Tribolium castaneum: one gene and its partner. The protein of the gene in region 1 purifies or fractionates together with the protein of each later gene. This does not show direct contact. Links are inferred from orthologs where the notes say so. Each region holds a gene or a part of one and is shown in the gene's direction. Other genes may lie near its edges.

What was found.
Region 2: the proteins of brefeldin A-inhibited guanine nucleotide-exchange protein 3 (region 1) and Phb2 purify together in Homo sapiens (affinity purification with western blotting; 4 studies listed by BioGRID). This does not show direct contact. The link is inferred for Tribolium castaneum from reciprocal best matches to the Homo sapiens genes ARFGEF3 and PHB2.

The regions. Positions count from the first base shown.
Region 1 is NC_087399.1:9,107,647-9,111,470, reverse strand, and holds part of brefeldin A-inhibited guanine nucleotide-exchange protein 3, read left to right. Parts: intron 1-721; coding exon 722-1,706; intron 1,707-3,824. UniProt on the Homo sapiens protein: Participates in the regulation of systemic glucose homeostasis, where it negatively regulates insulin granule biogenesis in pancreatic islet beta cells. Also regulates glucagon granule production in pancreatic alpha cells.
Region 2 is NC_087401.1:13,157,923-13,162,333, reverse strand, and holds Phb2 (prohibitin-2), read left to right. Parts: upstream 1-1,513; 5' UTR 1,514-1,606; coding exon 1,607-1,739; intron 1,740-1,783; coding exon 1,784-1,904; intron 1,905-1,952; coding exon 1,953-2,412; intron 2,413-3,572; coding exon 3,573-3,650; intron 3,651-3,701; coding exon 3,702-3,798; coding exon of another isoform or gene 3,799-3,809; exon of another isoform or gene 3,810-3,906; intron 3,907-3,953; coding exon 3,954-4,039; 3' UTR 4,040-4,117; downstream 4,118-4,411.

The DNA.
Region 1 (3,824 bases):
CTCTGCATGTAATTTTTTTCAGAAGTTGTCTACAATTTTTTATACTTCTAATAAATACAAGCTGAATCAAAAGTATTGCAAAAAATTGCTGTTTTCATGTACGAAACGAATTGGAGATAAAAAAAGAAAATTTAATTTATGTATTATTTTATCAAATATCCCGGCGCATCCACCAATTTTGATAACGAACAACATTTTTAAAACATGATGGATGAGAGTAAATAAATGTTATAAATGTAAAACGATATTTTTGTTACCTTATTTCTGGCAATAATAAAATATAAATGAATGTGATTCCTACTTAAAATTTGTGCTACGCACTCATTTAACTAATACATGACTCAAAGATAACGAACAACTTTTCTTTACTTGTATGTGTAACAGAGTTTTAATTTTAAAACGTTAAAAAAAGGGGAAATTACAAAAATAGTATTAAAAAATTATTTTTAAATGAGCTTGAAGCACTCATTCTTTAAAATAACTTGTAACTACGGTACTCGTTACTGAAACTTGAATCCGTGCTTCAAGAATGGTATAATGAAACTTGTTTTGTAATATACTATTGTTTCACTTTTTTAATTAAAGCAAGGAAGTAAACGTCGAATTTTTAGAAAACTTTAATCATTTATTGAATTTTTATTACGGGACGTAGTTTTTCTAGGTGTTGTGGTTGCGCCTTTAATTGCATTTATTACGTTGTTATCATTATTATTATTATCAGGGACGTGGTTGCAAATTTGAAATGCCAAAGCGACTCCGACAGTAGCGGGATTGAGGGCAACGTCCCCGACATTGAAGGGGGCTCTGAATCGGATTGTTCCGGCGCAACCGAAGGCCCCGAAGAATACGGGAGCCAATCAGAGGACAGTATAATGGACGATGACAGTTTTTTAACCAACCATCAACTCCAAAAATTGCACAAACTTCCAAAATCGCTCAACTTGGGCCGAAGTGGTCTAGAAGAGTGCAATACCGACGTGGAACGTCACAACGCCCGCCATTTCGTCAAAACCTTACAAAACATACTTCTCCCAAACCTTTTATCACTAAGATCGTCCATTCAAGTCGACGAAGTTTTGCAAGAATTCGCCTCCAAGTGTTGCCAACACAACTCGGCCCAAAGCTACGAAATTTCAACGATTATGAACGCCGATGGTGTTTATTTAGCCACGTATTCGGCCCTTTTGCTCGACTTGAAGCTGATACAAGGGGGCAACCATGATGGGGGCAACAACGTCCCCATCACGGAGGCCCAGTTTGTGGAGGAGATTCATGGCAGTGGGGTTTTGGTCTACGTTTCGGCGACTTGGTTATGCGAACTTTACCAAAATGTTTTGGCCAAATCGTTGCTTCTGACGGCTGGGTATGACCCCAAAGCGCCCCAACAGCCAGCTTTGGTCAATTTATTGACAGATGTTGGTGGTTTATGTCCGTCACAGTTACTTTCCGATTGGCAGAAGTTGCAAAAAGTCCATGGAAGCCCGGAGAGTAGTCCTGAAGTTGAGGCAGGAGTTAAGCTCTCACGGAGGGTTTTGACGTGTTGTTGGGCTTCCGTGGTTTCGGTTTTAGGGGCGCCATTGGGCGAGAAAAGCACTTTTTCGGGGACTTCGGCTCTGAGTCGGTTGGTGGCGAGAAGGGCGCGGCAGAAGCATCGGCAAAGGATAAGGGATGATATCATTACGGCGTGTCTTGAGGGCCTCCATAAGGTATTTATTTATAAAATCGGGGGGAAAACCGCAGTACCTGATTTTTTGGTTCTATTTTTTTGATTTCCGCGATTTTTTTTTGAGTTTTTTTTTTGAAAAAATGTTCAAAAATGTCATTGTAAAAATATGGATATACTGTGTTAGACAAAAGTATGGAACCAAGCGTTTTGTGGCTAAACTATGTTCCTTACAAAAAAAATAAATAGTACATCATCAACTCCTTCAAAAATGTGAACATTTTTCAAGAATAAATTTTTTCGAAATTCTTTTTTGTTATTCAAAAAAATTTTTTTTAATGTAACTTTACCACGGCGATTATTTTGTTAAAAGTTTATGCTCTAAAAATTACTTCTAATTCAATAATTTTGTTTTTGTGTTTTTTTTATAGATTATTAAAGCCGCATTCCGAGCTTATTACGACGGTTTTCTGAATACCACCACTTCGACCAAGTTCGAAAAACCTTCGTAACGGGCTCGGAATGCAACTTTAATAATTTATTTTCAGAGAACCACTGGTTTAAATACAATATTATTGAATTAGAAGTAATTTCTAGAGCATGGTCTTTAACCAAAAAAATCGCCGATGTGGGGTGCCATTTAAAAAAAAATTAATAACTCGAAGACTTAAGGAATTTCGAAAAAAATTATTTCTGAAAAATGATTACATTTTTAGAGTACTTGATGATGTACTAATTGTTTTTTTCGTAAGGCACATAGTTTAGGCACAAAACGCTTGGTTCTATATTTTTGCCCAACGCTGTACTTTTTTTTGTAACAAAATATTTAAACTTGTTTGCTTGCATTTTAAATTTTTAGCCAAAGGGTTGAAAAAACATAACGTCTACCAGTTTGAAGAGAAGTTCATATTACTTTTGTTTTCAAAATGATTTCCTTGATTTATGTATTCACTGCAGATTTCTTCTAATTTGAATTAGAATTTTCTAAAGATATTCAGAAGAAATATTTAAATTCATCTATAGATTTGTTTTTATTTATCTATTTTTAGACATTTTGTTTTTTTTTTGATTTTTTTGGTTTTAACAAATTATTTTTGATTTTGTTGGATTTTCTCAAGATTTTTTCTTAATGTTTTCAAGATCACACTAACATTTCAAAATAATTTTGATGACTTCAAAATTATTTGCAGATTTCTTTTCATTAGAGCTAGAAGTTTTCAGAAAAAATATCTTTTATTGATTTTTCTTGTTTTATTTTTTGGTTTTCTTCATGTTTTTCTCTCGATTTCTACAATACAGTTGCACTAAATATTCAAAATGTTACCTACATACATATTTCTTTTAATTAAAGTTACAGATGTCTTGAGGAAGTCAGAACTAGACTAGTATATAAGACTAGTCTTTATCTATCATAAAGGTTTATCTGTAAAAATTTCTTTTGATTTCCTTTGGTTTTGTTTTGCCTTGTTTCACTCTTTGTATTTCTTAATGATTTTCTTTTGCTTTTCACAAAAATTGCACCTATTGTTCAAAAAGATTTTCGTGAATTCACTCCAGATTTCGCTTAGTGTTAGAGATTTTCAGAAGAAATATTTATGTATATCTTTCTAGACATTTATACTTATCTCAACTACACAATAGGGGTATTGTTAAAAACACGTTGCATTCTAAAATTTAATTTTAAAATTTAATAAATTTTTTTCTCTGACTTTCTTAAAAGTTACACTAACTTTTTTCCAAATGATTCCTAATGTGATTTAAAATATTTACTTCAAATTTCTCATAAATAAAGCTAGAGAAACCTTAAATCTATCTATAAATTTATCTTTACTTTAAAGACTTATCTAAAAAAAATTTTTTTAATTTCGTCTACTTTTAACTTATTTTTTTTGACTTGTTTTAATTTTTTTTATTTGTTCCTGATTTTCTCAGGAGCTCCATTAATTGTTTAAATAAAAGTAATTTTATTTTCCAACAGACAAAAATGTTTATATTGGATAATTACAAAATATAATTTTAACACAAACAGAATAATTTTAAATAACAATATAAAATACATAGATAATACAAAAATAAGTAACAAGAAAAGATGAATATTTAACATTAAATTTATTGGCAAAGCTGAGACAATAACTGTTGCTTGACCGACGGATTAGTAAAT
Region 2 (4,411 bases), on another chromosome or scaffold:
CCGGTTTTGCGCATTTACCTTTACACGACCAACAGTGTAACTTGTCCGTTTTACCGGAGGATAAAGCGCAAATTGCCGAAATAATTAAAATTATTTTAAGTGTGACAGATGTCATTTTTTCACTTTTTTTCAGAGAATTTAATGTTATCAGCGATTTTTTTCAACCATTCGTTTAACTGTAATAACATAAAGTTGTATTTTTTTAAATAGGAATCATAGTTGGCTATGACATTTTCGAAAAGATTATTTTTTTCTGATTTGATATGTCTATTTGTGTAATACGTTAATTTTAAATATTTAAGAAATACGAAACATTTCGTTTTTTCTTTATAGTAGGCCATGAAAAAATTTTGGATTTTTAATTAAAGCTATGAAAATTGTATTACCCACCAAGTATTTATAGTTTAACGAATTTTTAAACCTAATTAATTCAAAAACAGCATAATAAATTTTTATTAGATTAAATTTTTGCAATTAATAAAAATTATTTGTTTTTATATTTAAAATGGCAAGCTTATGTTGTCATTTTATTTTCCAATTTTAAACATGAAATGTCGGAAGAAGAAAAATCTTATTAATTGTATGATTGCGTATCAATAAAATTTTATTTTACAAAAAAATGTCAATCCAAACACCAAAATCAAATTCCATCTGCGGTAAAAATTTATACAACATTATCAACGTCACCTCCATTGAACTTTACTAAATCATAAAAAAGTGGCATCAAATAGTAGTGACACATCGTTTGCAATTTTCTGCACATTTTTTATGTAATTAAAATCTGCGACGCTCGTATATTTGTTCAATTGAAAATAACTTTAACATAGCTTATTTTTATAATTTCACATTTTTTACTTTAATAACCGCTCACAAAATTTCTAGATTATTCACACCTTTTATGTGAAATAATTTTTCCATGGCCAACTACTTTCAAATATTTTAAATATATTTTCTAGCAAAAATATATAAAAATATCAAACTATATTTATATTGTTTTGAGTTCAGAAAAAAGTAAGCTTTTCAAAAATGTCATAGCCAACTATGATTCTCATTTAAAAAAATACAACTTTATGTTATTACAGGTAACGAATGATTAAAAAAATCGCTGATAACATTATTAAATTCTCTGTAAAAAAGTGCCTTTAAGGTCTTTGTTTCAAATGTGTATCTTTTATAATAAGGAAGATATGAATTTTTTAATATTTCACTGAAGTGTCAATTTTTGTTTATAAGTCGAAAACAAAAGACGATAGCGAAGTGCGGTTTTGACCAAAATTATTCTCTCAAAAAACGGACCCGAAAATGTGCCATTTGTTTTTCTCTAAACTTCTTAATTTCGGAGACCCCGGAGACTTTTTGTCGATTTAGAATCTGGGTAATTTTGAGGAATTTATTTAAGTTTCACCAGAAACTTACTTATTTCAAAAAGTTTCTTCGAAACAACCGATGAAGAAGAAAATAAAATAAAAATTGTTGTAAAAGGATTAAAAATCCCGCGCTGCGTTTAGTAATTTTGGTATTTTCTGGCGTCCCTGCTTGTCACCGGCGCCATTTTCCGCAATCACGTTTTTTCAATCGCGCGTTGTGTAACTAATAGCCCCCATAAATGGCTCAAAGCAAGTTGAACGACCTGGCCGGCAAGTTCGGCAAAGGGGGCCCGCCCGGCCTGGGGCTCGGACTCAAACTTCTGGCCGTTGGTGGCGCCGCAGCTTACGGTATCTCGCAAGCCATGTACACCGGTAAGCCCTTTCAAATTTTTTGCGGTTTTTACGCCCGTGTCTAGTCGAAGGGGGCCACCGGGCCATCATGTTCAACCGCATTGGGGGCGTCCAGAAGGACATTTACACTGAGGGGCTGCATTTCCGCGTGCCGTGGTTCCAGTACCCCATCATTTACGACATTCGGTATTTGGACGAATGAGTGTAGCGGGGTTTGTAAGGGGGCTGTTTTAGGTCAAGGCCGCGTAAGATCTCCTCGCCAACGGGGTCGAAAGACTTGCAGATGGTGAATATTTCGCTGAGGGTGCTCTCAAGGCCGAATGCCAGCCAACTGCCGATTGTTTATAGACAGTTGGGGCTGGATTATGATGAGAAGGTTTTGCCTTCGATTTGCAACGAGGTGCTGAAGTCGGTTGTTGCGAAGTTTAACGCAGCTCAGTTGATTACACAAAGACAGCAAGTTTCGCTTTTGGTTAGGAGGGAATTGACTGAAAGGGCGCGCGATTTTAATATAATTCTGGACGATGTTTCCATTACTGAGCTTTCCTTCGGGAAGGAATACACGGCTGCGGTTGAAGCCAAACAGGTGGCGCAACAGGAAGCCCAAAGGGCTGCGTTTATTGTCGAGAAAGCCAAGCAGGAAAGGCAGCAAAAGATTGTCCAAGCGGAGGGCGAAGCCGAAGCCGCAAAAATGATATCCTTTTTATTTTTTGATTTTTTTAGTTTTATTTGTTTATTTCTCCTTAATTTTTGAGTAATTTTGGAAAATTGCTGGTAAGACGCTTCTGACTAACTTAGCTAAAATTACGGAAAACTATAGATTAGGAGACGAAACGAGACATAAAATCGTACCACAGAAGTAACACGTCAGAGGGCACTTCGATCGTTATAATTAATTTAAATTCAACCAATTTATTAATTGTGGGGAAAAGATACAAAAATGTTGTTTACTGAATTGAGAAAAATTGACTAAATTACACAGTTATGTAATGAATTTTTAAAGTATATTATTCCAAATACTACGGAGAAATGCTTCTCTCTAATTAGTTTTTAGAATGTTATAAGAGTACTAAAAAATAATTTAGAAAATTTGAATTTTGAAAAAGATCAAAATAAAATCTACAAGAAAATTTGGAGAATGAAGAAATGTTGATAATAGTTAATTATTATTACACAAGACGATGACATTGCTTACCTACGAGTAAAAAGGTTGAGTTCAAGAGAGACGAAGTCACGAGTGAACTTATTTCGCGAATAGATATTACGTGTATAATACAACATTTTTTCTACAGCTGGACTTCAAGTTTACGAAAAAATAATTATTAGTCTCTTAACCCATCAAATGAGTATGTTATTGGAATTTGTAAATTTAATTGAATAAAATAAATCTAAAACATTCTATATATCTTCGCGGTTAAAGTGCTATTTTATCTACTCAAAAGAGTTGATAAAGAAATAGTTTAACATCTGCTATAGATAAGAATATTTGTTTGTTGGCAATATTTTAAGCCTTCTTTTTAATATCTGAATCCTAGATTATAATCACAATTTTAAAACACGTTTCCCGTTGGGAAGAAAGTTGTAGCCAATTAAAATTTCGTTAAAAAAGTCCACGAGATCTTCAACCGTTTAGGTCCCAAAGATGTTTCAAGCGTTCTTTAAAATTTGTTGCTCAGCGCCCTCTGGCGACACCAACGTAACTAGCGAGAACGGGACGTTTTATTAGTTCGTTTCGTAACCTAAGCTATAGTGAACCGTAGCTAAAACTAGAGTAGTCATAGCCGACGAGCCAGACGTAGAGTGTCGTTCGTGTAGTTAGTTTGTGTTTAAAATTTTTTCTTAACTTGAGTTTACTTAGGTGAAGCAATTTCCAAAAATCCGGGCTATTTGAAATTGAGGAAAATCCGCGCGGCTCAGAATATTTCACGAACCGTGAGTTTTGTTTACTTGATTTCTTCTTTAATTGGAAAAATATTTTTCTAGATTGCCAACTCGCAAAATAAAGTGTACCTCAGTGGTAACAGTCTAATGTTGAATATCTCTGATAAGGAGTTTGATGACCAGTCTGATAAGCTCAAACGTAAGGATTGAGTCTAGGTTTAAGTTCGTAGTGAGTGAGTGAAAAACTTTTATAAGAATATTTCTTTGTTACTATTTGTAAAAATATTCCTAAGTCTCAAATAAATGCGTAAGTTGTTACGAAGTCTTGTTTGATTTTGTTTACCCCTTTTGTAGGTAATGAATATGATGACACGACGCGAAGTGCTGATAAAAATGTGCTCAGGACAGCACGGAAAATGGCAACAAGGATTGCTGGATAAGGGCGGAATTTTCACGCATGTAGATTTTATATTTTGGTTATTGTTGCTTAATAAACGTTTTTAACACCTTTATTAAAACTGCATTTCTCTTCTTTTGTTTGTTCCTATCCTTAATGTTTATAAAAAAAATCACCAATATTTGGTGATTTTTATGCGCAAGGGTTACCAGCATTCAAGCACAGTCTTCGAACCGGTTTTATTCTGACATCAAGCTACACAACAATGGCAGTGTTTAAATAAAGCTAGGCCAAGCTACGCATTGTTCGTTCAATCAAACATTTAAACCTGTGCACAATAAACTACATCGTTGCATAATTCTAATAGAAAAATTCAAATTTGGCGCCACTTCCAATGGCGCCATTTTCAAAATCA